Linked DNA regions of Saccharomyces cerevisiae S288C. Changing the gene in region 2 together with the main gene of any one other region gives a genetic interaction. Each region holds a gene or a part of one and is shown on either strand. Other genes may lie near its edges. The genes, in order: BCK2, NEO1, PTM1 and ALG14.

The links.
Region 1: mutations in NEO1 (region 2) and BCK2 together harm fitness more than expected from each alone (negative genetic interaction), as found in Saccharomyces cerevisiae (2 studies listed by BioGRID).
Region 3: mutations in NEO1 (region 2) and PTM1 together harm fitness more than expected from each alone (negative genetic interaction), as found in Saccharomyces cerevisiae (2 studies listed by BioGRID).
Region 4: mutations in NEO1 (region 2) and ALG14 together harm fitness more than expected from each alone (negative genetic interaction), as found in Saccharomyces cerevisiae (2 studies listed by BioGRID).

The regions. Positions count from the first base shown.
Region 1 is NC_001137.3:513,100-521,409, forward strand, and holds BCK2 (Bck2p), read left to right. Parts: upstream 1-5,116; coding exon 5,117-7,672; downstream 7,673-8,310. Other genes in the region: aminophospholipid-translocating P4-type ATPase DNF1, read left to right, coding at 1-4,360; CCA1 (tRNA adenylyltransferase), read right to left, coding at 7,930-8,310. UniProt on the Saccharomyces cerevisiae protein: Dosage dependent suppressor of PKC1 deletion and MPK1 deletion. Involved in cell lysis.
Region 2 is NC_001141.2:257,386-266,871, reverse strand, and holds NEO1 (aminophospholipid-translocating P4-type ATPase NEO1), read right to left. Parts: upstream 5,436-9,486; coding exon 1,980-5,435; downstream 1-1,979. Other genes in the region: SYG1 (Syg1p), read left to right, coding at 1-1,757; DFG10 (putative polyprenol reductase), read right to left, coding at 5,953-6,714; PCL7 (Pcl7p), read right to left, coding at 7,102-7,959; isoleucine biosynthesis protein MMF1, read left to right, coding at 8,592-9,029. UniProt on the Saccharomyces cerevisiae protein: Flippase that catalyzes the hydrolysis of ATP coupled to the transport of lysophosphatidylserine, phosphatidylethanolamine, and phosphatidylserine from the lumenal to the cytosolic leaflet of the Golgi apparatus membrane and ensures the maintenance of asymmetric distribution of phospholipids.
Region 3 is NC_001143.9:360,952-368,289, reverse strand, and holds PTM1 (Ptm1p), read right to left. Parts: upstream 5,669-7,338; coding exon 4,097-5,668; downstream 1-4,096. Other genes in the region: RGT1 (Rgt1p), read right to left, coding at 1-2,685; NFU1 (Nfu1p), read left to right, coding at 6,462-7,232.
Region 4 is NC_001134.8:378,575-385,214, forward strand, and holds ALG14 (N-acetylglucosaminyldiphosphodolichol N-acetylglucosaminyltransferase anchoring subunit ALG14), read right to left. Parts: upstream 1,361-6,640; coding exon 647-1,360; downstream 1-646. Other genes in the region: YBR071W (uncharacterized protein), read left to right, coding at 1,837-2,472; chaperone protein HSP26, read left to right, coding at 3,456-4,100; YBR072C-A (uncharacterized protein), read right to left, coding at 4,286-4,447; DNA-dependent ATPase RDH54, read left to right, coding at 4,538-6,640. UniProt on the Saccharomyces cerevisiae protein: Involved in protein N-glycosylation. Essential for the second step of the dolichol-linked oligosaccharide pathway. Anchors the catalytic subunit ALG13 to the ER.

The DNA.
Region 1 (8,310 bases), on a different chromosome or scaffold from region 2:
GGGTACAAAAAGGAATAAAAAAGGAAACCCAATAATGGGAAGATCTAAGACCTTGAAATGGGCTAGGAAGAACATTCCAAACCCATTTGAAGACTTTACGAAGGATGATATTGACCCTGGTGCCATAAATCGTGCGCAAGAACTAAGGACTGTGTATTACAATATGCCCTTACCAAAAGATATGATAGATGAAGAAGGCAACCCCATTATGCAGTATCCTCGTAATAAAATCAGAACTACCAAATATACCCCGTTAACATTCTTACCAAAAAACATTCTATTTCAGTTTCATAATTTCGCCAACGTTTATTTCTTAGTTTTAATAATTTTAGGTGCATTTCAAATTTTTGGTGTCACGAACCCTGGTTTAAGTGCGGTTCCGTTAGTTGTCATTGTTATAATCACTGCGATCAAGGATGCTATTGAAGACTCAAGAAGAACCGTCCTAGATTTAGAGGTGAATAATACCAAGACACATATTTTAGAAGGTGTTGAGAACGAAAATGTCTCAACCGATAATATTTCATTGTGGAGAAGGTTTAAGAAAGCAAACTCTAGACTCCTTTTCAAGTTTATACAATATTGTAAAGAACATTTAACTGAAGAGGGCAAAAAGAAGAGAATGCAGAGAAAGCGTCATGAACTAAGAGTACAAAAAACTGTTGGAACGAGTGGACCCAGATCCTCTCTAGACTCCATTGACAGTTACAGAGTATCTGCAGATTATGGCCGTCCTTCATTGGATTATGATAATTTGGAACAAGGGGCCGGTGAAGCCAATATAGTTGATAGATCCCTACCACCCAGAACTGATTGTAAATTTGCCAAGAATTATTGGAAAGGTGTCAAGGTTGGTGATATTGTTCGTATCCATAACAATGATGAAATCCCTGCTGACATTATCTTACTTTCAACGTCGGATACAGATGGTGCCTGCTACGTAGAAACTAAAAATTTGGATGGTGAAACAAACTTAAAGGTACGCCAATCCTTGAAGTGTACCAATACTATAAGAACGTCAAAAGATATTGCTAGAACAAAATTCTGGATCGAAAGTGAAGGGCCCCACTCAAATTTGTACACTTATCAAGGTAATATGAAATGGAGAAATCTTGCAGATGGCGAGATACGAAATGAGCCAATTACTATTAATAACGTTCTGCTTCGTGGTTGCACTCTTAGAAATACTAAGTGGGCAATGGGTGTTGTAATGTTTACCGGTGGTGACACAAAAATCATGTTAAACTCTGGCATTACACCCACCAAGAAGTCCAGGATTTCAAGAGAACTAAACTTCTCTGTGGTGATAAATTTCGTGCTACTTTTCATCTTATGTTTTGTTTCTGGTATTGCAAATGGTGTATATTACGACAAAAAAGGCAGATCACGGTTTTCCTATGAATTTGGAACAATTGCTGGGTCAGCGGCGACAAACGGTTTCGTCTCATTTTGGGTTGCTGTTATTCTTTACCAATCTTTAGTCCCAATCTCTTTGTACATTTCTGTGGAGATCATCAAAACTGCACAAGCGGCCTTCATTTACGGAGACGTTTTACTCTACAATGCCAAATTGGATTATCCTTGTACACCAAAATCCTGGAATATTTCTGACGATTTAGGTCAAGTGGAATATATATTTTCTGATAAAACAGGTACATTAACTCAAAATGTAATGGAGTTTAAAAAATGTACTATCAATGGTGTTTCATATGGAAGAGCTTACACCGAAGCGTTAGCGGGATTAAGAAAAAGACAAGGTATCGACGTCGAAACCGAAGGTAGGCGTGAGAAGGCCGAAATTGCCAAGGATAGGGATACAATGATCGATGAACTGAGAGCTTTATCAGGAAATTCACAATTTTATCCCGAAGAAGTTACCTTTGTATCAAAGGAGTTCGTTCGCGATTTGAAAGGGGCTAGTGGTGAAGTACAACAAAGATGCTGTGAGCACTTTATGTTAGCATTAGCTTTATGTCACTCCGTCCTTGTAGAAGCAAACCCGGACAATCCAAAAAAACTGGATTTAAAAGCTCAATCTCCAGACGAAGCAGCGTTAGTAGCCACAGCTAGAGATGTAGGATTCAGTTTTGTTGGAAAAACCAAAAAAGGGTTGATAATTGAAATGCAAGGTATTCAAAAAGAATTTGAGATTCTAAATATTTTGGAGTTTAATTCATCGAGAAAAAGAATGTCCTGTATTGTCAAAATTCCGGGTCTGAACCCAGGGGACGAGCCTAGAGCACTTTTAATTTGTAAAGGTGCAGATTCCATTATATACTCAAGATTAAGTCGCCAGAGTGGTAGCAATAGTGAAGCTATTTTGGAAAAAACTGCTTTGCATTTAGAGCAGTACGCTACTGAAGGTTTAAGAACGTTATGCATAGCTCAAAGGGAGTTAAGTTGGTCTGAATACGAAAAATGGAACGAAAAGTACGATATTGCTGCTGCATCATTAGCAAACAGAGAGGATGAATTAGAAGTTGTTGCAGATTCCATTGAACGCGAATTGATATTATTGGGCGGTACAGCTATCGAAGATCGTTTACAAGATGGTGTTCCGGATTGTATAGAGTTGCTTGCAGAGGCAGGAATTAAATTATGGGTTCTTACGGGTGATAAAGTTGAAACAGCTATAAACATTGGATTTTCTTGCAACCTTTTGAATAATGAAATGGAATTGTTAGTTATTAAAACAACTGGTGATGACGTGAAAGAATTCGGATCAGAACCAAGTGAAATTGTGGATGCTTTACTCTCCAAATACTTGAAGGAGTATTTCAACTTAACCGGTTCAGAAGAAGAGATTTTTGAAGCTAAAAAGGATCACGAATTTCCGAAGGGTAATTACGCCATCGTTATCGATGGTGATGCTTTGAAATTGGCGCTATATGGTGAAGATATAAGAAGAAAGTTTCTTTTACTCTGCAAGAATTGTAGAGCTGTCTTATGCTGTAGAGTATCTCCATCTCAAAAAGCAGCCGTTGTTAAGTTAGTCAAGGATTCTCTAGATGTCATGACACTAGCCATCGGCGATGGTTCCAACGACGTCGCCATGATTCAATCTGCGGATGTTGGTATTGGTATTGCCGGTGAAGAAGGTCGACAAGCTGTTATGTGCTCAGACTACGCCATTGGACAATTCAGATATTTGGCTAGATTGGTCCTCGTTCACGGTAGGTGGTCTTATAAGAGACTGGCAGAAATGATTCCTGAGTTTTTTTACAAAAACATGATTTTTGCTTTGGCATTGTTCTGGTATGGTATCTATAATGATTTTGATGGGTCTTACCTGTATGAATACACATACATGATGTTCTATAATTTGGCATTTACATCCCTACCAGTCATCTTCTTAGGTATTCTGGACCAGGACGTGAATGACACAATATCATTAGTGGTCCCTCAGTTATACCGTGTTGGAATTTTAAGGAAAGAATGGAACCAAAGAAAGTTCTTATGGTATATGTTGGACGGATTATATCAGTCTATTATCTGTTTTTTTTTCCCTTACTTGGTTTATCACAAAAATATGATAGTTACGAGCAATGGGTTAGGATTGGATCATCGTTATTTTGTCGGTGTTTATGTGACCACTATTGCTGTAATTTCGTGTAACACATATGTTTTATTACACCAATATAGATGGGATTGGTTTAGTGGATTATTCATTGCACTGTCTTGCCTCGTAGTTTTTGCATGGACGGGAATATGGTCTTCTGCGATAGCTAGTAGAGAATTTTTCAAAGCTGCAGCGCGTATCTATGGAGCACCTTCATTTTGGGCTGTTTTCTTTGTTGCCGTGCTGTTCTGCTTACTGCCCCGTTTCACATATGACAGTTTTCAAAAATTTTTCTACCCAACTGATGTGGAAATAGTAAGAGAGATGTGGCAACATGGCCATTTCGATCATTATCCTCCTGGTTACGATCCAACAGATCCCAACAGACCCAAGGTCACAAAAGCTGGGCAACACGGAGAGAAGATTATAGAAGGCATAGCACTTTCCGACAACTTAGGAGGATCGAACTATTCAAGGGATAGTGTTGTCACAGAGGAGATTCCAATGACTTTCATGCACGGTGAAGATGGAAGTCCTAGCGGATATCAGAAGCAAGAAACCTGGATGACTTCACCCAAGGAAACACAAGATCTTCTTCAATCGCCCCAATTTCAGCAGGCCCAAACGTTCGGAAGAGGCCCATCAACCAACGTCAGGTCATCCTTGGACCGCACAAGAGAACAGATGATCGCCACTAACCAACTAGATAACCGCTACTCTGTGGAAAGAGCGAGAACATCTCTAGATCTACCAGGCGTAACTAACGCAGCCTCCTTAATCGGAACACAACAGAACAATTAATAATGATATCCGAACCATAGCTGATGGAACTCCGCTTTTCACTGTATATATAATATTACATAATATTACTGGATAAGCCTTAGAAGCCTTAGAAGCCTTAGAAGCCTTGGAATTCATGCATACTACAGCGTTAACTCTTTCTTTTAGCAAGTTTTAGTAGCGGACGTGTGGGTTTCTTTGTTCTATAATTAACACTCCCGGTTAACCCGGATCGCTATTATTCAAGGACGCACAATGGTGGGCTAATTTTTTCTTCCGATGGAAAACTGACGCCAGCACTTTCCAGCGCTGGGAACTCTCCACTAACTGGCAAAAAAATTGATTAAGGTCATGATCAAAGGAATTTTTGAAATGTTGTAAAGTAGAGTTAAGAATTAATCAAGCCGTGATACGTATGTTTTTGACTAGGTGAGAGACTATATTTATCAAAAATAGTTTTTTATACTAACAGAAAGTTTATTATATCATAGAAATCCTAGGCCTATTGTTATTATTTGCGTGAAAAAAGGTTCATGCCTAGTTATTCAGGATATTAATCAGGCATAGTCATAGTTTTGTAATACACGTCTTTCACTCCTATTTCCGGTTAACATTCGCTAATATCCATCAAATTATTGACTTTTTTTTCAGTGGATTTGTTGTTAATAAAGGAAACAATCAGATCAGCCATTTAGGGAAGTCTTTTAAGAAAGCTCAGAAGGAGATCTAAGACAAGAAGCAAGGCAGTCTTGATTTATCGCTCAAAACCAATAGCACATGCCGAAGAATAGTCACCACCATCGTTCCAGTTCGGTTAATTCCACAAAGAGTCGTTCTACGGAATCTACGAATAAATGGAAAATTCCGCACTATTATCGCAGATCCGCTAGCGGCAGCACACAAGCTTCGCCGGACAGGAACTCCTCAACAGGCTCATGTAGCACTCCAGTATTACCTACTATGAATGTTATGTCTAGCCCGAAAAAAGTTTTGCTAGAGGATCCCAGAGACAACCATACTAAGGCGAAGAAGAGTAGTAGAAAGAAATCAGGTGAAATGGTCTTCGTCAATTATACTGTACAGGACACGGCTAACGAAAATGATACTGACTTGCAAACCCAGCCGGTTTCTGTGCCAGCACCAAAGGCGAAATTAAAGAAGAAATCCTCCAAAAGGAGAATGCTGAAGATATTTGGATCGTCAAAGAACGAACACATAGAGGACATCGTTGAAGAGCAACCAATGGTGCTTCAAATGGATTCAGAATCTAAACCCCTTTCGGGAACCCCTATCTCAGAAAGCGGAATCGACGCCTCGTCACTAACAACCAAAAGATCTTATAACTCGTTCTTAAAACACAATAGGCTAAACGGTAAAACTCCGTTCTCTGGAAACTTGTCCTTTCCATCATTAAACATGATGGGTAACACTACTGATCTGCCTATTGACAATAACGATTTTTGTTCCGAGAAAGAAGTCGTTCCGAAATCAACTCATGATCCTTCACTAGCAAAACCGCCATCAAGGTTCACTGAAAGCGAAACAAATTCTACTCCCAACTTATCAAGTATACCTCTCATGAACACAAAAAATACAAGATTGAAGTACAATAAAGTGGCGCCTCAGAGTTCAGACCGACAAAAGTCACAGGAAAGTGGGCTATATCATTCTACCGAATCATTCAACTTCAAAGATCAAAACTACAGTAACAATAAATCCTCTTTAAGTCTGAACTCCGATTTAAGTACACCCCACTTTGCAAAGCATTCACCTGATTCACCAAGAACTTCAAGATCTTTCAACTGCGGAGACTCACAAAGTAAAGTTAAATTACCGGAAGAAAATGACGCTTCTATTGCATTTAGTAAGATGTTTACTAGAAAACGAGCCAACACTGGCGGGTCCACGTGTTCGCTAGCCTCACCCACTATTGCACAAACTATTCAGCAATCAAATATAAAAGTTAATAAATTGCCAACTCAGCGAACCACTTCAGTTGGCTCATTATCATCCATGTCAAATCGTTATTCACCAATAAGAGTTGCATCGCCAGGAAGAGCAAGATCCGCAACTCGTGGGTCTTCCCTTTATAGATTATCCAGAGACCTTAATTCTTTACCAAGCGTCACTGATCTACCAGAAATGGATAGTACAACCCCAGTTAACGAAATATTCTTGGATGGCCAACCACAGCATAAAAGTGGCAGTGTCAAAGGAGGGCATAGGAAGAAACAAGAATCTATCTCTGATGCTCAAAGAATTCAACATTCTAATTCGTACATTACAACACCTTCATCTTCTCTGGTGACTCCTCCTTACTACATGACAGGTTACACATTACCAAGTTCTGCATCTGCTTCTTCAACTCCAAATGTGCTTGAAACACACAATATGAACTTTGTTCCAAGTACCAGTACTGTTACAAGTTATCGCCCATCTAGCAATTTTTCCTCATTTGACAAAGAATACAGTAACGAAAACGACGCTAGTGGGGAATTCTCTGCTTTCAATACTCCAATGGAGAATATACCGGCACTAAAAGGTATACCTAGATCCACGTTAGAAGAAAATGAAGAAGAGGATGTCCTAGTACAAGATATTCCGAATACGGCACACTTCCAAAGAAGGGATATTATGGGGATGGATACTCACAGAAAGGATGACAGTTTAGATTTTAACTCTTTGATGCCACACGGTAGTACAACTAGTAGCAGCATCGTAGATTCTGTTATGACGAACTCAATATCCACTACAACAAGCAACGCGACCGGAAACTACTTTCAAGATCAAGATAAGTATACATTGGTAAATACGGGATTGGGATTGAGTGATGCAAACCTCGATCATTTTATTAGATCTCAATGGAAACACGCTTCTCGATCAGAATCCAATAATAATACCGGAAATCGCGTTTCTTACAGTGGCTCAACACCAAACAATGTTGATACAACAAAGACTAATTTGCAAGTGTATACCGAGTTCGATTTTGAAAACCCAGAGTCGTTTTTCCATGAGCAATCGAAGCTACTAGGTGAGATGGGCCACAGCAATAACAACAGCAACAGCGCCATCAACATGAATGAACCCAAGTCTGCGGATACATACATTGGAAATATATCTCCGGATACTTCAGCAACTGTTTCATTAGGCGACCTGATGGGCTCAAACGTTTCAAACAACAGTGAAAGAAATTTTTACGATGGTCATACTTTCGTTCCACAGTATCAGGCGAACTCATCTGTGGAAAACTCAAATAATCAAAATGCAGCACCAATTGCAAATAACGACATTGATAATAATTTACAGTCTTTTTATTTTGATAATAGCAACTAAAAAAGGAATGAAAAAAAAAAAAAAAAGTTCAAAAATAGTAACAGATATCTTTCGAAAAAGTTAAAAACTGGTAAAAAATTTTGAATAGAGTATATAAAAACTAATAAATATGTTTAGTTATCATACACCATAGAATAACTACTAGAGATATTATTTCATTTTCGTTTTCATTTTTTTTATTTTTTTCTTTTCAATAAGGTAACAGAAAGTTATTTATGCATTCTTGTTCTACATGTCTTATGTATACTAATAAGCTACTACAGGTATTTTGGTAGTATGGCTTTTAAATGAGTTATTAATTCTTGATCAGTCCCTGTAGGATTATCAAACTGCCACCTAATCGCTTCGTTATTAATTTTACCCAGCCATGGACCTGGCTTCATTTGAAGTAGTTTTGCCATTTGTTTTCCGTCCACTATTGGTTTTAGTTCATGACAATTATTCAAATTATTGTCAAATATGTAAGAATAAAATTCATTGTAATTTTGGAAAAGTAATTCAATTTTTTTAGTTTCAAGCTTGGGAATCTTTAAAAATGCATCTGATAGAGATGCAAAATGTGCTGTTTCCCATTCGCCATTAAAGTTCCGTAGAAATATACCGATTTCGGATTTTTTTAGCTGGGAACGATCTGCAAA
Region 2 (9,486 bases):
ACGTGCAGTTGGTGGCACAGAAGATGCAACAAATAACCAGTTCGCAACCAACACCCACTTCGGAGCTCTCTTCCGCCCAAAGAGACAAAGAGCCCATCACTTGGTTGGAAACGCAGATCACCGAGTGGTTCACCACTGCGTTGACCAATTCGCCTAAGGACAGGAAGCACAATACCCATAAGTTGAAGAAATTGACCATTCAGTACTCTATCTCCGAACAAATGGTTCATAGAAACAACAGATCGATTGTGCAGATGCTGGTTGTCGGGCTGGGCATAGGTGTGTCAATGACTTTGATCACTTACACTTTGTATTTGGGCATTAGCTCTGAAGAAACGTCATTTACGCACAAGATTCTGTTCCCACTGTGGGGTGGTTGGTACATGGTTTTGTTGATCGCGTTTCTCTTTCTTGTTAATTGTTTTATCTGGCATAGAACCGGGATTAATTATAGATTTATTATGCTGGGTGAGATTCAATCCAAGAATGGTACGCAATTTTTCAACAATGATTTTGCCACGAGTAAAATTCCGCTCAAGTTGTATTTCTTGACATTCTTCATAGTACCTTGTGCGGTCTGTTCCATGTTAAGTTTCGCTTTGGAGAAGCTCACACCCTTAGGCTTTTTATATATTGGTATTGTGTCTTTCTTATTTTTATGTCCCTCTGGTCTAATTCCATATTGGGACAAAGTTGTACACACTAGAAAATGGCTGGTGGTTACTCTTATTAGACTGATGATGTCTGGTTTTTTCCCTGTTGAGTTTGGTGATTTCTTTTTGGGAGATATTATTTGTTCGTTGACGTATTCTATTGCCGATATTGCCATGTTCTTCTGTGTTTACTCTCATACGCCCAACAATCTATGTGGCTCTTCACATTCCAGAGCAATGGGTGTTTTATCATGTTTACCAAGTTATTGGAGATTCATGCAATGTTTACGAAGATTTGCTGATTCCGGTGATTGGTTCCCTCATCTTTTGAACGCGGCGAAATACACTTTGGGTATAGCGTATAATGCCACACTTTGTGCTTACAGATTGTCAGACCGTTCTGAACAAAGGAGAACCCCTTTTATCGTGTGCGCTACGTTGAATTCGATCCTTACTTCCGCCTGGGATTTAGTTATGGATTGGTCCTTTGCTCACAATACTACTTCTTACAATTGGTTGCTAAGAGACGACTTGTATTTAGCTGGTAAAAAAAATTGGGAAAACGGCAGTTATTCATTCAGTAGGAAGTTAGTTTATTACTTTGCTATGATTTGGGATATCCTCATTAGATTTGAGTGGATTGTATACGCAATTGCTCCTCAAACAATTCAGCAGAGTGCTGTGACGTCGTTTATATTGGCCCTTTTGGAGGTTTTAAGAAGATTCGTTTGGATCATCTTCAGAGTCGAAAATGAACATGTTGCCAATGTTCACCTATTCAGGGTTACCGGTGACGCTCCTCTGCCTTATCCAATTGCGCAGGTCGGTGATGATTCTATGGATAGTAGTGATTTGGGTTCAAAAGCCTTTTCATCACTTAACGACATACCTATCACGCCTTCACATGACAATAATCCTCACAGTTTTGCCGAACCTATGCCCGCTTACCGTGGGACTTTCAGAAGAAGGTCCTCCGTGTTTGAGAACATTTCGAGATCCATTCCTTGGGCACATGCAACTGATTTCCAAAGACCAACTGTCAATACCGTGGATGATAGGTCTCCCGAAACAGATAGTGAAAGTGAAGTGGAAAGTATTATGTGATTTGGGCTGGACATGATATTTGCTATTGTTAACCTGCTAAAGATGCTTATTTGAGGAAGTACAAAGAAAAGAAAATAAAAAGTAAAAGAAAAAAAATGTAACAAAATAATATTATGCATAATCTATATCTTCTTTGTAAAAATAAGAATTTATATTTTGAAATATGATAGATTTTTTTAAGATAATCCGTTGAAGCAACAAGAAAAATCCAAACCAATTGAATTATGGAGTGGCAAACTCTTGCACTTTTGCATAACTTGGAGGATGTAGCCTTCTATAAATTGCCTTTGCCGTCCAGACAGGAAAGATCGAGATGAGTAATATAACTAAAAGTCCAGCATAGTAATTTACGGTAGTCATATAACCTAAATCAAAATAATCGCCAAGAAATGGAACCGATACAATGTAAAATAGTAAAGTAGCAATTTCAGTGACGAGCATTGTTTTATTCCATGTGTAGATTTCTAAGGCAACCATTATTAATTCATTTACAACCAAAGCAGTGAAGCTGATAGCAACCATCCTTGTGAAATCAGTATCTAATAAACTCGTAAAGGCCTGAGAAAATAATTGAATTACAGAACCTTGGAATAGCGATAATAGAACCCAAACAAAGAACGTCTTATATGATAAGCTCTTACCTTCAGTCAATTCTTTGTACAATTCTGGGTATATTTTAGTCAATGACTCTTCGATATCGTGATCAAGAGTTAATGAAAAGACTGGAGCCATTGTATAGCAGGTAGCATAACCGACCATTAACCAACCTTGATAAAGAGCAATAGGTTCGAACAACGAACAGATGGAATATACCGCTTGGCAAATTGCAATGATTAAACCTCTATGCATGACAAATTGAGCCAATTTAGCAGATCTTTTGTAAGAGTTCCTACCATGCCATAATAGTAATTCGGTGAGGTGACAAAATTGCGTTATAGAAAAATCAGCAGCTAAAGAAGCTTGTTTACCTTCTTTACCCACAATCCCTACGCCAACATCTGCACATTGAATCATACTAACATCGTTACCTCCATCACCAATACAGCATACCCTTTTGCCCGTCATTTTACGAATTACCAAAGCAACGTCTGCCTTCTGTTGAGGTGTACAACGGCAAGCAATAACAGTGGGTAAATGAACCACGACATCAAAAAATTCCTGTTCGTAATGTTTCAAAAACATTCCCAGGGATTCACCATCTATTAAAAGACAAGCATTTCTATTGATTTTTAGATACTCCAGCTGATTGAATGCACCTTCCGGTCTTGTGACTTTTGTTATCGTATGAACATATTGGCCACGAGATATTAATTTTGCACTTATGGAAACACAACGAGCAGTTTCAACTTTATCACCTGTCAGCATCCAAATCTTGATACCTGCGTTTCTTAATAACTCGATAGAGGACTTCACATCCTTCTGTAACTTATCTTCTACACCAGTTAGACCCAATAATTCAAGATCATGCTCTAAATACTTGGTGATAACTTGACTCATCTGTTGATCACGATTTAGCATTGACAAAGAGGCATCGTTGTATTCTTTTTGAAATTGCTCGTAAATTTTCTTGTTTAATTTTTTACGACCGATAACCAAAGTACGTAGACCTTCACGAGCCATATTACCTGTTTCTTCCTCTAGCCAATCATTGCTTTCCACAATTTTTGACATGACAGTATCGGCCCCTTTTTGCATAAACCAATATTCATCCAATTGCTCATCACGAACAATGATACCCATACGCTTAGAATCAGAATTAAATGGGAATACTTGTAAAATTTCGTAATTTAAAGTCTTACCAGAATGTTCGTGTAATAAAGAAATTGAATGGCGATCTCTTTTGAAAAGAGATAAGCCAACCGACTCGGTAAATTTAACAATAGCAATTTCATCAGGTGATGCCGCTTGATATGTAAGTTCGTCATCCTCAAAAGTGGGAGTAACGTTATGGCAAATTGCTAGAGTTAAAATCATATCACGTACACGAAAAGACATATCCTTTCTTGTTGTTGATAAGGCAACTTTAGAATTGTTCAAAGAGTCATTTTTAGAGCTCACCAGAGATTGTACATAGTCGGATACAATGTCTAATGTTTCCGACGTGTATGATACAGTACCCAAGTGTATTTTCTTCAATTGCATATCATTCTGAGTAAGCGTCCCTGTTTTGTCGCTTAGAAGGTATTCAATACGGCCTAAATCCTCTGGAATTGTACTCGTTCTAACAATTGTTTCAGGAATGGTTTTATCGTGTTCGATCTGATGTGCATAAACACTTTTGGCTAAATCTAAATTAACTCTTAAAGAGACAGGGATGATGGTAGAAAACAATATCAGATACCTCAAAATGTCAATGTACCAGTCGTCATTGTGGAAACCGGCAAATGCAACTAAAAGAATTGACAGGGCAAAAACACATGCACAAAGAATCTTGGAAATACTGTTAATTTCTAGCTCTAATAAGCCAGTTTTAACCTTAGCTGTAGTTGTATTCATAGCTTGCCTAGTATCTCTGCCAGTGTAGACGACACAAGCAATACAAAATCCACTGGAAGCTAGAACAGTATTCGCCCATAGAGTATTATCTACAGACAAAGGGTTTGAAGTGGAATCCTTATAGGTAACTTTACCTAAAAATTTATGAATAGATTTCTCAGGAGCAGAGGCTGTTATACTAATTCTGTTAATTAAGTCATTTTCAGATAGATTTTGGGTCAAGGGACAGGCAACACGTAGTTTCCAGTCAGTCTCCCCATCTAGTTGGTCAGTTTTGATAAATGACTCGCCTGATGGTTCACTTGATTGTAAAAGAACCAAATCAGCGGGAATACGATCACCTTTATGGACTTTTATGAGATCTCCAACTTTTAAGTCTTTGCTTGGTATGGAACGATTTCTCGTTATTACATGATACAGTTCATTGTTTGACTCTCTATCACGTCTCCTTCTCTGAATATCATCTATAGCTTCCTTTGCCATGGTTACTGTCAGCACAAATGCTAAAGGTACAATATACGATGATAAATACCCTATTCTTAGTGCAGGAACGGCCTGCGATAATGCAACTACTAAAAAGTATAAATTGTAAAAGAATTTGAACTGTTCATATAATAGGGTTGGCACAAAAGTAACGGCATTATATTTGGCATTAGATAGTTCATTCGAAACGTATCTATTCCTATCGTACACAGGAGTCGTGTCTGGATGTATTTCTCTTTCGATGTGTTGATCACTGAGTTCTATGGGTGAACCAAACTTGGACCAGTTTTTTGTGTTAGATACTTTTAAATATGAGAGGGCTTTTGAAAAAATATTGTTTGAAGACGACGGTGGTGACGAAGCAATATTAGTAAATTTGAAATTATCATCCTGCGAGAGGCGATTATCATACATCAAAGGATGGGTATCTGTGTTTGAAGACTTACGATGCGAATCCGAAGAATGGTTAGAAAAATTGTCTAAATCATCTACTGTTCTCATTTCAAAACTTTCCCTATCTCCAACAGTGTTATGCTTACTAAGTGGTTCTGGGTTATTATTAATTTGTAAACTGTCTAAAGCAGCGTCAAATGAATCGTCGAGATGTAAGTCAAAAGAATCTACACTGTTTGCGTGTTGATTATTGTTGGAGTTGAATAAATTCTGCTTATGTGACTTAAATGAAGGAGGGTTAGGCATTTGTCTCTGAAGTTTTCCGTGCACACTGATACCCCTTTCTTTTTCAGATTAACGTTATGCCACACAAGTGCTCTGATTGTTACTTTTTCTCAATTGCTTAACGGTATATTGCTGTTAATAAGCTGATTGTTGAGTACTGTATAAGCTTCAAAAATCCAGATGAAATCTTTTATTGCGTAGATCAGGCTTCTAATAGCAGCAAATTCAGGTGAAACAATGCCTAAAATATTAAATAAAAAATAGGTATTGAGTAATTTTGGTCCTCGTTTTAAGTAACGAATGTGTCCGAAATTCCCAAGATGTCTAACCTTTTGTTTGGCAGTGATAGGTCTTAGCCACTGTGCCAGTATTTACTCTTTCCAACTGCCTCAAAAAGGTATGGCCTTACCTTCGTTTTTAATGACACGTATACGAGCCTTTGCTGTCTAATTAGTGGTAAAGTGATAATAGTGAAAGTAAAGTGGTTCTTTACCGCGTCTATATATATATGTATATGAATGCCCTAGTGTGCACATTACTAGATTATAAAAGGTATTATGGCGTAGGGGGCTACGTGATTGTCTTTAAATTTGTGCCTGTAATAATTTTTTGTTTCCAATGCGGATATAGTCAAACTTGTGATTACCCAAACTAGTGTTAGGTAAAATTCTTGTTCATAGGGCAACAGAGTAGAATAAATGATTATTTCATCGAGATAATGAGGACAGCATACCAACCTGAAAAGCCTTCCTGTTGGCAGCGAATATTTAACCAGATTGGCCAGAATAACATGATTTTTGTACTGATCCCAAGATGCTATGCAGAATATGATGAAAGCATTCATGTTTAACGTATTTGGAATGGAGTTCTTGTACAGTGATATATTAAGAATTAACAAGAGTACGGAATAGAACCATATACCGACTAGATAATGGGACCAATTCATCCTAGAATTGCTTGTATAATGTAGTACATAAAGCGTTTCATAAAGTCGGCGCAATGAGTGTCCAAATATGATCCAAACGATGGGGAATTTAGGATAGAAATATAAGGTGACTAAGGATAGAAAGGTAGCCAAATAGTAAAAATGGGAAAAATACGCCTTTGGAACTGTGAACTTCTTGATTCGTTCTAAAATGCTTGAGTACTTTGAATTCTCTTTGGGCCGGTAGGTTTTACCATATTGAAGAAATTCTGGTAGACAACTTTTTGCTATGAAAAGTGAGCAAATGCCTACAAAAAAGGATAATCTATAGGCATATATAGTATATTTTAGCAATTGTTCTTCATCAAAGTACATTGGACTGGTAGATTCTACGTTTTAAGCCAGATCGGTCCGCCGATAAACCTATTTATATTCCACATTTGGTATATTTTTACTTTTTCGAAACGTCCTTAATTCTCATTTTGGAAAAAAAAGAGAAAGCATAATACTGAATAGAACAAGGACCGAATTTCTCTTTACCGGTAGATTATGATTTATTTGGGCAAAAAGTTTTTTTTTTCATTCTATTGCAATAGCTATCATTTCAGGAGAAATGCTACTAATATGAAAAACCACTGATTTAAAAGGAATATTAAATTATTTAAATATAACCGATATGTACGCGTTACGTAAATCAGAAATTGATATGTATAATACGAGTAACGGTAAGGGAAGGGCATGAATAATATGCAGGACAGCATTCTACTGGTCGTTCCAGAATTTATATAACAAGTTTGCATATTTCTGCATTTCTTCGACTGAAACCAATAACTTGAAATCACATAGTATCAGGAATTGTAATTCTAAATGGTTTAACTCTTGCAAAGAAATACCTCCAACCTTGGCGTATCGAGAGTTACTGTAAAAAAAATCACTCAAGAACTTCGTGCAAATTGTGACACCTGTTATGAGCAATCTATGAATGTTCCCGGAGTCCATGACGAATAATTGCTTTGCGCAACCATTACGCTCAGAAGAATGCCCATAATTTTTGGAGATTCTATCGAAATATACAAGGAGAGAAAGAAAAATATCATTTGTGGTGGGACAGTACTTTTGAATTCTCTCTAAGTACTGAACAACAGCTATCTCTGGAACATTCTTTCCATAGAAAGCAAGGATTGGAGTTAAGAGTTCGTCTTCGGTCTCATCCGACACTTGTTGTGAGACATCTGTAGTTTCATCGTTTGCTGTTATAATTCTGTTGAGTAGCGCACTTATCATTAGTATGAGTTCATCTGTGGGAAAGTCTGCTATGTTTAAGATCTTTACATCAGTCTGTTCATTTGTCTCCTCGTCCAGGCTATGCGTTTTTGCTTCCGACTCTAAAGACTTCTTTACAGCTTGTACAGGAGAACAATCTAGTAAAGATTTCGAAGAGAAAGGGCTTTCCAAACTGGGGTTAGTAGATATTTTGGACAGCAAACTACTATTGTTACTTGAAAATGGATCGGTCTTGAAGCTGTGAGAATGTGGTCCGATTATTAGGTTATCTCTATTCCCCCCTGGTATATTTATTGGCGATGTTGTGGTTTTTTTTGATGGTGAACTTAGCTCCATATTTTTCTCTAGTGTAAGCAGTCGTTCGTTCTAGCTCGGTTTGCTTTAGTCTGATTACAGTAATTAATGTCTGTTAACTTTTGTTGTACTATTTTAAGAACCGTAGATGAATATATAGATATACTTTTTGTATATATAAAGGTTTGAGATGTTGAAGCCTGCGCTGCTATCCCCTGCTTTGTTTACACCGTTTTGGACCCATCGCAAGATACCGAGATTCCGAAACCGGCCTCAAAACTCCCAGAGATTAGGCGCGATAGATAGTAATACCTTAAGCCATAGTATGCCTATGGATGCAAAATGCAATGATCACTGTCCATGTTATACAATTAAAAGAGCCCGTAGAAAAGTGCACAGGCGGTGATCTTAGAAGACCAGTGCTGCTTATTGGATAAGTCTCTATCATTGAAGGACGTTATTCACTTTGCTCCTGTGTACGCTCTCATTTGCGGAGATGCGATTCCGCCTCTGTCGCTCATCCAGCGAAAAACACACCGTATGGATCCCCTGATATATATAAATACATATGACTAAATGGGTCTTACACATGCATAAGAATTAGGTTAGCTAGTAAATTGTGTGAGATTTACAGGTAAAAAGGACAACACATACACACAAATATATTACCAATAATGTTTTTAAGAAATTCCGTTTTGAGAACAGCTCCAGTCTTGAGGAGGGGTATAACAACATTGACCCCGGTCAGCACCAAGTTGGCCCCACCCGCTGCCGCCTCTTACTCCCAAGCTATGAAGGCCAACAATTTTGTGTACGTGTCTGGTCAAATCCCTTATACTCCAGATAACAAGCCTGTTCAAGGTTCTATCTCTGAGAAGGCCGAACAAGTTTTTCAAAACGTTAAGAATATCTTAGCAGAAAGTAATTCTTCTTTAGACAATATAGTCAAAGTCAACGTATTCTTGGCTGACATGAAAAACTTTGCCGAATTCAACTCTGTATACGCCAAACACTTCCACACCCATAAGCCTGCAAGATCCTGTGTTGGTGTTGCTTCCTTACCTTTGAATGTTGATTTAGAAATGGAAGTTATCGCTGTTGAAAAGAATTGAAGGATTGAAACTTCTTTACTGCCTTTTTTCCACTTGCGATACCGAGGAGTGTACATTTATAAACATTTTAGTAGCATTCTTTAGCGTATATAAGATTTTAACTAAGAAAAGAAACGAATTTACGGAGTTTCAGAATCAGTTTCTTGCCGTTGTAGAAAATGTGAGGGGAGTTTCCCTCTACTTGTATCAATGTTACAAGACAGGGGTAGAAACCTATTACGTGTTGGAACTTATTTTCTTGAACACTCTAATCATAAATTCTAAAAAACTGTGACTGTGTTTTCGTCACAACTTTGCGGTGTACAGATGTCGTCACATACCGTGTGTTGTTTGGGTGTTTTCCTTTCAGCTTTTTTTTTTTTGAATTTTTGAATTTTTACTTTCATTTGCTTTCGGAGGTCCCGCTTCCGACAATAGTCCGCTTCATTTGTCCCTTCCCATGAAAGTTCATTCCTTT
Region 3 (7,338 bases), on a different chromosome or scaffold from region 2:
TAATGATAATAAGCAATTGATGAAATTGTGTTTGCCAATTAATAGCTTGCAAAATAACTGTGCTACGGATAGAGGTTGAGTTTCCACATATTCCGATAAGAGTGAAGACGAGTTCGTAATATCGAACCCAGGCTTCCTATTGCCGTTCATTGATATTCTATTCCTGGTAAGCTCACTCATCAATTCACCCAATTTCAAGCTTTGCAAGACGCTTTTCAGTCTCAATTGGCTTTGTTCCAGGCACCATTTTGAGCCCAAATCATTAGAAAAAAATCTTTCTGTAGAACCTTGGATGGAAATGTTTAATAGCTTGGGACCACCGAATGCACAGCTTTGTAAAGAATCAAACACTGAAAGCAAAACGTATAATCTTTTAAACAACACTGAATAGTGACTAATGTTTTCGTCCATGGAATTTGGTGAATTGGATGGATTCATATGCCCAGCACTTTCAGATCCAATTTCAAATTCGGACGTTTTTGTATTCCCATTACCAGTGCTGACCTCTTCATCAACTGGAGGCTTCACATCATTTATATCCGGCTCCGGAAATAATAGAAGTTTGTATAATTTAAATTCGTTAAAAATTGTCACCGACATTCCAAGTACAAATGAGTTATCGTATCCAACAAATGCCAAAATGTAATTTAAAAGAATAAAAGTAGATAAATAAATGACTTTGATCTTCGGCGAAATTTGGTCGTTGTTTTCTCTGAATTTGGGATGAATATCCACGATTTTTTGGAAACATTCATTGAGGGCGGCAATAAAAACGCTTTGCACTTCCAAAGTATCCTGTACTTCATTATGTGAATCACGTCTTGTTTTTTCAGCATCATCCCTTGCCGTGGCTGTAGTGAACCCAGCTTTGTTGTTGTCATTACTTGGCGACAAAGCCACGCCAACAATATTATCGAAAAACTTGCCACCTGGCTTTTGTTTCAGAGCAACACGAACTAACAATTCCAATGAATTTCTAAACCACAAAATAACATATGAATTGACTTCGTGTATATTGGAAATTGGCTGTGTGTTAACTAACAATAAGTCACTGGTCAAGGTCGTTTTGTTTAAAGGTATGATCGGAAATCCTACATGTATGAACTCATAGTAGGTGTCTATTAGATCTACATCGGATATCTGTCCATACGCGATAGTTGATGAAGTGGTCATTGGGTGAGCAGAATCTTTCGATGTTATAGATATAGATGAATCTCTCTTTGGTTTTGTCTTCTTAGATACGTAACTTTTTCTGCGTTTTTTTGTACTTCTCTGTGGCGTTGATCCAGGGCTGGATGCTTCCAAAGCCGCTGGTGTAGTTACAGATTCTTGGGAATGTTGAGATGTATCCTTAGAAGAACCGCTATTATTGCTGCCATTATTGTTGTTAATTTCACCATTATTATTCTCATTACCATTCAGCCTGTCCGTGGATAATGTTACTGATACGGGGGCTGATTGTCGCCTTTTATTTCCATCCAACTCAGATGAAAATTGCGGTACCTGCTGTCCTTGAGGTCTTTGTGTTTGCTGTGCAACATTTACGGGGTTTGTAGATGTGCTAGTAAACATGGCAGGTGCACTGGGAGACATAGCCTCGCTGGCGACTGATCCTTGTCTAGAATGAAAACCATTAGCAGCGAACTGGCCAAAAGATGATATCGATGGGTTGTACGGTTGCTGCTGGGAAAATTGAGAATACGAGTATAGGTTCTGTCCTTGTTGCAACTTTTGTTGGTGTGCTTGTGGCTGCGATTGTTGCTGAGGTGGGGGAAGCTGAGGCTGGCCACCTAGTAAAAGAGAATTTGAAGTATTTCGTAGCAAAGAAGGTATGGAACTTGATCTTCTTGTCTGTTCCCCATTATGATCATCAGTAGGAGCTAGTAAACCAGAAGTTCTTATAAAGGACCAATAACCACCACTACCAGAGGCACTGCCTGAGCCGGTGACACTTCCGTTTGCATTTCCAGAATCATTAGTATGTTTATTCGTTATGGGAGACTGTTGAACGGTGTTATAAGACAACTGCTCGTTGGGATTTAATGTTCTTACCGATATATCACTTTGCAAAGAATCGATAGATCCTTTTCTTTGGTGTTGAAACTCATGGTAGGGCACTTTCCAAAACTGCTGTTGGCCAATATTACCCGCGGGCATAGTTGATTGTATCGCTGGATTTTGGAAACTAGGAGGAATGCCACCAGCCTGGGGAATGTACTGTGTCAGTGGGGGCAATAAAACTGAATTAGATCTCGAAGGGGTACTTGGAACTGTGTTACTGTTTATACCGTTGTCGCCGCTATTGCCCGTATTATTATTCAGGGTATTGTTACTATTATCAAACGTATTATACGACCTTGAGTTATTGTGGTCTTGTATTTCGTTAGTCCTTGGATGGCTGGTGCTCCTCGTATAGCCTTTCGAGGGTCCCCTTTTCAAAGGAACCCTATCAAAACTACAACGGTCTCCATTCCTTTGGCAGTTTGAGCAGACCCCCTTTTCATCTTTGTAGTCACATTTAATCTTCTTTTTACGACACTGATCGCAGGCCCGGGAGGCCTTTGTTCTTTTCTTTATTGCGTGACTTGCTGCTGCTGCGGAGTCCATATCGTCGGGACTATTGGATGTACCACCGTTCTTGGTGGAGTCACTGGAGTTAGTCGAAACAGTGTTCAGCTCGTTCATAATTTGAAATATATTGGAGTTTGAGAGAAGAGTACAGCTTCTTGACAAATGTGAGAATCGAAGAAGCGTGTTATTATTGCACCAATGAAAATTGCGGGAACGGTTCTGCACAATATAGTACAAGGGAGAGGCGATTTCCAACGAAGTCTATGGTGAAAGAGCAGAATATGTTGGATGGACAATACTCCAGTCTCAAAACTCCAAGCACGGTTCCTAACTGATGTGTTCTTATTTTGACTTTTTTTATTTTTTGAATTTTTACTAGTTGCTACTATTTTTTTTTCCTGTTTTTCCTTAAAAGGTCCCTTCCCATAATCGTCTTGCTTAGTTAGCTACATGAAAAAAAAGGAAAAAACTAAAGGAAAATGCACAAAGCAGCGACATATTTTATGAATCCAATACCTGCCATTTCAAGAAGCTCGGATTATTGGTGAGGTGACGTAGCTTTTGTTTGATGTACTGTTGATTATTCGTCTCTGGTGCTCATAAGCCACGTCACAGAAAACGATAAACGATGTTAGCGCACATGCTACATGACTTGCCAATCGTGGTAAAGCTTCTGATGAAAGAACCAACTTGCGGAAGCGTGCCCATAAAATGGTCGTGCGGCTTAACGAGCAATCACACCGAATAAAGTGATCCCGTAAAATGATATTCTACTCGGATGATCCGTTCCCTAGGAAGCGTAAGACAAGTAACTACAAATGTTGTCGCATGTATATTCTATTACTCAGAGCGTTTGACAAAAAAATCTTCTCCCTTTCATTAAAAACGAATCGAAGAGCTGGGTTTATAGCATTGTCACTAAGGACGTGGTCTCATCATAAACAAATAGAATATACATGTTATGTTACATAGGAAAGACCGAAAAAGCCAGAGAAAGCTAATAAGGTTAGCACTGATGCAGCGCGCAACCTTACGTTATCTGGCTTCGTTGTTCATCCTTGAACAAAGGGAATTCCTCACTTCTGGTCTTCCTGCGTCTCTTCTCATAAACAAGTACACATGAAAAGTCTATGGACCAATTTTCTCTTCCATTTTATAGTCGATGAACAGAAACTTTTCGCTTGTTTCGGTTTGATATAAATCATCTTATCACCGAAAAAAAAAAAACTCCAGCGAGCGGCTAAATAAATACAAAACGAAAAAGTTAGGTCTAGAGTATAGCATAGCTTTGGTGACTACAGTTATAAACAGGTAAAAGCACGCACAAATAAATGAAAAGAAACGTGCAACGCATTTATTTATTTATTTATTTATATTCATATTTATATTCATATTCATATTCACATCGCATTGAACAGAAGTGCATATGGTTCATAATTTCTTTCTTTTCGCTTGTAAACATTTCGTGACTGCCCTCGAAGAAACTATTTGTCTCATCACCTAATCAAATCTGCTGGAGGTAGCGTTATTTTGTTGGAGAGGGAGACACTGGCCCGTGGCCTTGGCTATGGTTATTTACATTATCGTGTCCTTCTTCATCATCAGTAAAATTCAAATTGAGGTCATCCTCGTCTATGCCACGCTCACCAGTGATGATACTTGCGTCATCTTGATCGTCAAACGATTGCAAATCGCCCAAGTCAAAGTCCGCGACATTTTCTGGGTCTGTGGGTAGTTGTTGGGATGCGGCTAGCATGTATGAAGTATCTGTTGGTCTCCATAAGAACGCGATGGTAACGAAAACAATGAAATACACTAACGTAGGCCAGAAATCAGTAACGAAGAACCTTGACCTCCAGTTCTTCTCAATCATATCAATAGTGTTCATGCCAACGTAAATAAATGACGAAACTATACTACCAGCTAGTACACTCAAAAAGGACGCATAAATGATGTATAGTAGCTTCTTGTACATGTTCAATTTTACGATCTGCCTTTGCTCTTTCAAATAGATAACTGTTTTTGTCATGGATCTAATAATCATGTAGTAAAATATGATTAATGCAAGCGCCATAGGAATCAAGGTGATCAAGATTAGTGGAGATGGTGCCTCCATGTCGGTCAAATAACTTTGGATCAAAAATCCAATGCAAATTGCATAAGTTAACGCACCATACATTTGGCAACGCCTCATCAACGTTTTATTCAACTTAGGGTACACGATACCGTAGCCCAAAGCGATAATCAATAATAGGAAAAATGAAAATGTAACTTTACCAGCCGTCAATATCGACAAGAACACCATATAAACTTTTATTCCCGCAGTATCACCTTTTTCATTTTTCAAATCATAGTAAGCCCATACAAATATGGTTTCTGCGGTTAAAAATACAAAAAAGGCCAGCAAATACTTTTGTAATGGTAACAATTCATGCTTGTGCTTCCAGAAGGCGAAGGAATATAACGCCATCGCCACAACGTATGCGACCGCCAAAAGACCATATAGTGGCAATTTGTTGATCTCGGTGCCCGCAAGCTGACCATAAGCATTCCTGAAATTCACCACAGCGTTGAACTTGGTAGACGTCGATGATCTGAACGCAGTAACACAATAAAATCCGGTTTCTTTTATTGGGTATCTAGTATCATGAAGGCCGACCTCATTTTGAGAAAACGTCATGATTGGATTGGCCAAAGATCTATTTGTGGAAGTATATGGATCATATACAACATCTTGAACAATAAACTCATCACGATTCTCCTCTTCACAAATCCCGATATCAATTGCATAATCATCACAAATATAATACATTTCTTCATCCGGCAATTGCACACCTAAGTGCTCAAAGTCTTGGAAATCATAGATTGCAACGACTAAGCCTGGATCAGACTCATCACTCAATCCACTTATTTTTTTAAGATTGAATGATATAAACGGGTCTATTTTGCCCTTCCAATCTTCTTTGGAATACATACCTGCGCATACTTGATAATTCTTTTGACTTATCTTTTCCTTGTTAGCTTTTACGAACACTAGAAGGTAGCATAAGAAGCAGGTGAATAATTGGAAAGGTCGGCAAAACTGATATACTCTCATTGTGCCCTTACACTCTTAGTTTCTGTAAATTTACTGCCTTTTTACCAGCTGTTTCTTGAAATTACCGAGAAAATATTCTATTTCAATTTTTAACCTGCAAAACCTGAACAGAATAGTTGATCCTCTTGACTATTAGTTTGAGGCTAAGTTTTTTTTTCCACTCTCCCTATTCCTACTCCTATATATATCTTGCTCTATCTTTTTCTTCAAGTTCGTTTTTTCACACACTATTTAAAAGACCAAGCTTATGTGTGACGTGCACGGGTGCAATATCTAAATCGGGCAAAACAACTAAGCAGTAATTAAAGTACCACACTCTAGCCGAAAAGAGGTATACATGAAGGTTGAAGATTCGGAAGCAATTCCCAAATTATGTTCAACATTACGGATATTACAATGTTCAATGCGCATAATACACCATAGAAGAAAATTGGCACTACGTATATACTGTCCATTGTTCTTTTAAACACAAAATTGAAACGTCTGCGGTCTCTTGAGGATAAAACAATGTACATTGAGTATAGTAACATGCTAAGCGTTAGCTTGTATCATCAAGACCGTCAAAGCAGGCATTTCATCAAATCTATAGGACCACTTAGCGGAGTCCTGGTGATTGTAGAAATAGCCTTCTAACGTATCAAGTGATAAATAATTTAAGTTTTCCGAATTTCAGTGATCTACTTACAATATTGCTTATTAATCATTATAAAAAGAAGCGTATTTAGCGGACTAATTAGAATACATAAGGCATTCTCAGCGTAATCTAAGCAAAAAAGCAAGAAATTGACTAACAATGTTCAAATCAGTGGCTAAATTGGGGAAGTCTCCGATTTTTTACTTAAATTCTCAGAGATTAATTCATATTAAGACTTTAACAACTCCAAATGAAAATGCTTTAAAATTTCTCTCCACAGATGGCGAGATGCTACAGACGCGTGGCTCCAAGAGTATAGTTATTAAGAACACTGATGAAAACCTCATCAACCATTCCAAGTTAGCACAGCAAATTTTTTTGCAGTGTCCAGGAGTGGAGTCTTTAATGATAGGTGATGATTTTCTCACTATTAATAAAGACAGAATGGTCCATTGGAATAGTATCAAGCCTGAAATTATAGATTTGTTAACCAAGCAACTTGCTTACGGTGAAGATGTTATATCCAAAGAATTCCATGCTGTCCAAGAAGAAGAAGGAGAAGGTGGCTACAAAATAAATATGCCCAAATTTGAACTTACCGAAGAAGATGAAGAGGTCAGCGAATTGATTGAAGAGCTGATAGATACAAGAATAAGACCAGCCATCTTGGAGGACGGCGGTGATATCGATTACCGTGGGTGGGATCCAAAGACTGGAACCGTTTATTTAAGATTACAAGGTGCATGTACCTCATGCTCTTCTAGTGAAGTGACTTTGAAGTACGGTATTGAGTCCATGTTGAAGCACTATGTGGATGAAGTGAAAGAAGTGATTCAGATCATGGATCCTGAGCAAGAAATAGCATTAAAGGAATTTGATAAGCTTGAAAAAAAGTTGGAATCGAGTAAAAATACAAGCCATGAAAAGTAAATATTCCGTCCTTCAAATGAAAATACAAGATGAGACGAAAATAAAAGGAAGTGTGTATATACTGTCTTTACCCTCACTATTACTTGATAGTCCGTACATGTTTCAA
Region 4 (6,640 bases), on a different chromosome or scaffold from region 2:
GCCACAAAACAGGGATATATACGAAAACAGCATCTTATATACTTTTTTACTCCAACATTAATTTCCAAAACAGGTGAGATGAGGTAACCCATTCGAAAAATTTAAATGTTCAGACACTGTCAAGTTAAAGAATATAACCTGGAGGTTTTCTTTTCTTTTTGTCCATCAAAATGCACTTTTTTTGAAAAAAAATGCCTTGTCAAGATAATGTGAAGTTTACTGGAAGGGCCCTTTCCTCATCGGGTTGCCGGCCCTGACTGACCTTTTTTGTATTTTTGGCCGTCCCGGCGCGGCGAAGAGTGAGACGACACCAAATAGCCGTACGGCAATAATCCTCGTGCAAAAATCTCTAAGACCGGTGTCGCATTATCCTTTACACACCAAATTTGGTGCCGTAATGCATTATGCATACACTGTGCAATTATGCAGACATGAAATGTGATTGTTTGCTTTGTATACGTAGTAATTGTAAGTAAGTGATTTACTGATTTACTTTCTGGTTAGCAGTGGTAGTTTTAATGCGTTGGCCGGATTGTTTATATTTTGTGAAGCAATCCTGGAAATTTTAAGCATCAAAGAAGGTGCGGTGCCACCATAAGACTTCAAAAATAGTTGGAAGTTTTACTATCCTACATAAATGGTTTACTTAAACAAGGATGCCGAACCACTTGGATCTTGGTAAATAATTGTCCCTCAATTCTTGCCACTGGACAATGAATTCATCCACTACCCAATATAATATTTTTCCGGTCAGACTAGGAGTATTAATCCTTGCCAGCGATTCTACATAAACTATATGGGAGGAACCCAACAGGGGCAAAAGAAGTTCCATAATTTTCAACCAAAAGGATATTATACAGCATGTTCCAGGCCCATTCAATAAAAACAGATGAGGGGAACCACACATAGCAAATCTGATTCTAACCACGTGCACAAAAGATTGTACCAACGTTCCAATGATGGTCTTTACACTTTGTAGGAGAGTCGCTTTAACTTCCCTAGCTTTCATGAATTCATAGTATTTTACTTTGCAATGACCAAATTTTTTTATAAAGTGGGCGAATCTTTGCCTGGAAGCCTCATCAGAATAACCCAAGTACACAATCGACTTACCCAGTAAAAGATCCTGGTAATTTTCTAGAAGACGGATCATTTCACCAGTATGACCTCCCGATCCTAAGAATACAAAAATCTTGAGCGGTTTCTTTGACGATTTTCGTATTTTCAGTAGGTTAACTCCATCTTTCGTATCCTTTTCTGTACCTGCTTGAGTGTGGAAAAAAGGCAGAATCGCTATCAACCTAATAACATATGCTGTCGATACGATGAGCACCAATGACGCCAAGTAGGCCGTTTTCATGATCTTCAAGTCACTTCTTTCGACTTTCCTGATACAATAATAAACCGCCGATTACAGTTATTGCGGGCCCTTGTACATGAAATATTAGGATGGCTTCGCTAAGAACATTTTTGCTTCTGGACAGACAGAACACGTAAAAAAAGAAACACGAAATTACGACTAACTTTCGCGTAGGGGTAAAATTACCTAATGCGCGTAATTAAAAAAAAAAGCACAGCAGTGTAAATTGGAGCAATAGGAGAAAATGACCTGTAAAGGAAGTATTCGAATTCACTAGTGCGGATATTAATAGAATTCATAATTTCGCGCTTGGCTGCTCATTATATTCTTGACTATTTGCCAAACTGTTATAAAGAAGCCTCAATATTCGTTTGGTTTATTGTTAAAGAAGGCGCAAGCTCGGCACGAGAAATATACGACGATAAAGAACATACCAACTATATATTGTGACGGCACAAAAAGACAAAATACGTAAAATGCTAAGACGCTCTAAAAATTCCAGCACTAACACAAACGCAGACACCAAGAAAAGACAATCCATGCATTTAGGATCCAAAAGTTCGCTAATCTCGCTGACTAGCGAATTTGGCCATGGACACTCCAAGACGAAGCAGAAAAAGGAGGAGGGCACAGCTCCTTCTCAATTCCTGTCTCCTACGAATAAGAGAAGCACATCTAGTCAGTCAAAGTTAAAAAGGAGCAGCTTGTTACTGGACGAAACACTGCTTAAAGACTACCACTCGGCCATGAGGCACATGCAAACAAACGCTGCAAAGGAAGAAAAGCTGCGGATGGCTCCATCACCAACGCAGTCAACGAGGAGCGAATCAGACGCCAGTCTTTCCTCCACCAAGAGCTCGATCTCTTCCATATTTTCCCAAGATAATGACTATTCCATTCACGATTTGTTGTACGAAGATATTGAAGAGATGGATAAAACAGACGCTTTCAAAATTAACAACACAATAGCAATCGATGATTCTAAAGCTCTCTTTGTCTTCTGTTCAAACGACTCCTCCTCAAGGACAGCGTCTATCGAAACATTGCACGAATCAAATTTGGACAACCTGGATATGGGTTCCAGTAGAAGGACATCGTTGGACTTTTTTTAATATAACCTACCATAGGACACACTTTGTTGTTGATGTTGGACAATTCGTTAATTAAGAGTCCCTAAACGGCTCTACTAGTTCCAACCTCACTTTGTTTTTTCATTTTTTTATGTTTTTTCTAGAACCTTCTTTACGTGATTCTCGCTCGGAATCCGTCAATAGAATGTTTTCAGTCTCCGTTTCAATATTCTGCGCACATCAATCATTTTCTTACTACATACACTAACATTACTCCTAGTTTAATTTAATTGAATTTTTAACTTTCTTTTCTTTTCATTTGGCAATTTGGCTCCTTGAAAACAAGACTATGGGTCTCTCTCATAAGCCTCAGGGGGGGACCCCAAAAAAATAACGCGGCCATCTTGCATGCACCGTTGAACCTGTAGCTTACAGTAAGCCACAATTCTCTTACCTTCTTGGCAATGTGGCACAAAATAATCTGGTTATGTGTCTTCATTTGGTAATCACTGGGATGTTACTGGGGCAGCAGCAACTCCGTGTGTACCCCTAACTCCGTGTGTACCCCTAAAGAACCTTGCCTGTCAAGGTGCATTGTTGGATCGGAATAGTAACCGTCTTTACATGAACATCCACAACCAACGAAAGTGCTTTTTCAAGCATTGCTTGATTTCTAGAAAGATCGATGGTTATTCCCTCCCCCTTATGCGTCCAAAAATATAGGGTGCTCGTAACAGTAAGGTATTCGCACTTAGCGTGCTCGCAACACAAAATTAAGTAATATGCGAGTTTTAGATGTCCTTGCGGATCTATGCACGTTCTTGAGTGGTATTTCATAACAACGGTTCTTTTTCACCCTTATTCCTAAACATATAAATAGGACCTCCATTAGTTAGAGATCTGTTTTTAATCCATTCACCTTTCATTCTACTCTCTTATACTAATAAAACCACCGATAAAGATATATCAGATCTCTATTAAAACAGGTATCCAAAAAAGCAAACAAACAAACTAAACAAATTAACATGTCATTTAACAGTCCATTTTTTGATTTCTTTGACAACATCAACAACGAAGTTGATGCCTTTAACAGATTGCTGGGTGAAGGCGGCTTAAGAGGCTACGCACCAAGACGTCAGTTAGCAAACACACCCGCAAAGGATTCTACTGGCAAGGAAGTTGCTAGACCAAATAACTATGCTGGCGCTCTTTATGATCCCAGAGATGAAACCTTAGATGATTGGTTCGACAATGACTTGTCCCTGTTCCCATCTGGTTTCGGTTTCCCTAGAAGTGTCGCAGTTCCAGTTGATATTTTGGACCATGACAACAACTACGAGTTGAAAGTCGTGGTTCCTGGTGTCAAAAGCAAGAAGGACATTGATATTGAGTACCATCAAAACAAGAACCAAATTTTGGTTTCTGGTGAAATTCCATCTACCTTGAATGAAGAGAGTAAAGACAAGGTCAAGGTCAAGGAGAGCAGCTCTGGTAAGTTCAAGAGAGTCATCACTTTGCCAGACTACCCAGGTGTGGATGCAGACAACATTAAAGCAGACTACGCAAATGGTGTTTTGACATTAACAGTTCCAAAATTGAAGCCTCAGAAGGATGGTAAGAACCACGTCAAGAAGATTGAGGTTTCTTCTCAAGAATCGTGGGGTAACTAAAGTGACCTGGCTCTATAGTGTTGTCCCTCTCGCGAGGACCATTGTTGCTTGCATATGGGCTTGAAACATATGGTCATCACATCTGAGCGATTTTACCTCTTAGAATTAGTTTAGATATATATGAGTTGATGAATAAATAGTTATAAAAACTTGCTTTGGCTTCGATATATGACCGTTATTTTTGACTAAGTTTTAACGAAGGAATCTAACCTCGTTCTTGTAATTACCAAAATCTTCAACAACGCGCTGTTGGAGGTATCTCTATGGATGTGGCTTGAAATATGGATGTCTTGCCTACTTCTACTTCTGGGAAAGGCATTTTTACTCGATCGCGTTAATATATGCATCAAGAAAATAAAAAATAAAACGCGAAGAGCTAAAAAAAAAAAAGAAAACCTACTATAAATAACCGATTAGAATCGAGTTTTTGTATTGAAATGGCGGTAATAAGCGTTAAACCTCGACGAAGAGAGAAGATCCTACAGGAGGTAAAAAACAGCTCGGTATATCAAACGGTATTTGATTCCGGTACTACTCAAATGCAGATACCGAAATATGAGAACAAGCCATTCAAGCCTCCAAGAAGGGTTGGATCAAATAAGTACACACAACTCAAACCAACCGCCACTGCAGTCACAACAGCCCCTATATCTAAAGCCAAAGTTACTGTCAACTTGAAAAGAAGCATTTCGGCGGGACCTACTTTAAATCTTGCCAAGAAGCCGAATAATCTGTCCTCAAATGAAAACACTAGATATTTTACTATCATGTACAGGAAGCCTACTACCAAAAAGCACAAGACTTGGAGTGGTGATGGCTACGCTACCTTAAAAGCCAGTAGCGATAAGTTATGCTTTTATAACGAAGCAGGGAAATTTCTTGGGTCAAGTATGCTACCAAGTGATTCAGATTCTCTCTTCGAAACTCTTTTCAAAGCAGGCTCCAATGAAGTACAATTGGATTACGAATTGAAGGAAAATGCAGAAATACGTAGCGCCAAAGAAGCCTTATCACAAAACATGGGAAATCCCAGCCCACCGACCACAAGCACAACAGAAACAGTGCCTTCTACGAAGAATGACGGTGGCAAATACCAAATGCCTCTGTCTCAGCTGTTTTCACTAAACACTGTGAAAAGATTCAAATCAGTAACAAAGCAAACAAATGAACACATGACCACAGTACCTAAAACCAGTCAAAATTCCAAAGCCAAAAAATATTATCCAGTATTTGATGTCAACAAAATCGATAATCCTATAGTAATGAACAAAAATGCAGCCGCTGAAGTTGACGTAATTGTTGATCCATTACTGGGCAAATTCTTGCGCCCTCATCAGAGGGAAGGGGTGAAGTTCATGTATGATTGCTTAATGGGCTTGGCAAGACCAACTATTGAAAATCCGGATATCGATTGTACTACTAAAAGTTTAGTGTTAGAAAATGACTCAGATATTAGTGGATGCCTTTTGGCTGATGATATGGGTTTAGGTAAAACACTAATGAGTATAACTTTGATTTGGACATTAATTAGGCAAACTCCTTTTGCATCAAAAGTTTCATGTTCGCAATCAGGCATACCATTAACTGGACTTTGTAAGAAGATTTTAGTCGTTTGTCCCGTTACTTTAATAGGAAATTGGAAAAGAGAATTTGGAAAATGGTTAAATTTGTCAAGAATAGGTGTTTTGACATTAAGCTCAAGGAATTCTCCTGATATGGATAAAATGGCTGTCAGAAATTTTTTAAAAGTGCAACGAACTTATCAAGTCTTGATTATTGGCTACGAAAAACTCTTGAGTGTTTCTGAAGAATTAGAGAAAAATAAACATTTGATTGACATGCTGGTGTGTGACGAAGGCCATCGACTAAAAAACGGGGCTTCTAAAATTTTAAATACGCTGAAGAGTTTAGACATAAGAAGGAAGCTTTTGCTTACGGGAACTCCTATACAAAATGATCTTAATGAGTTTTTCACTATTATAGATTTCATAAACCCAGGAATCCTTGGAAGCTTCGCTTCTTTCAAAAGAAGATTCATTATCCCTATAACTAGAGCCAGAGACACTGCAAACAGATACAACGAAGAATTGTTGGAAAAGGGGGAAGAAAGGTCAAAAGAGATGATAGAAATTACGAAAAGATTTATTTTGAGACGAACAAATGCGATTTTAGAAAAGTACCTTCCTCCAAAGACGGATATAATTTTATTCTGTAAACCATACAGCCAACAGATATTGGCATTCAAAGATATTTTGCAGGGCGCACGTTTAGATTTTGGACAATTGACGTTCAGTTCTTCGCTAGGACTAATAACATTACTGAAAAAGGTTTGTAACTCTCCTGGATTGGTTGGCTCAGATCCCTATTACAAATCACATATAAAGGATACCCAATCTCAGGACAGCTATAGTCGTTCTTTGAACTCTGGTAAGTTAAAGGTATTAATGACATTACTAGAAGGTATTAGGAAGGGTACCAAGGAGAAGGTCGTCGTAGTGTCTAACTACACTCAAACATTGGATATAATTGAAAATTTGATG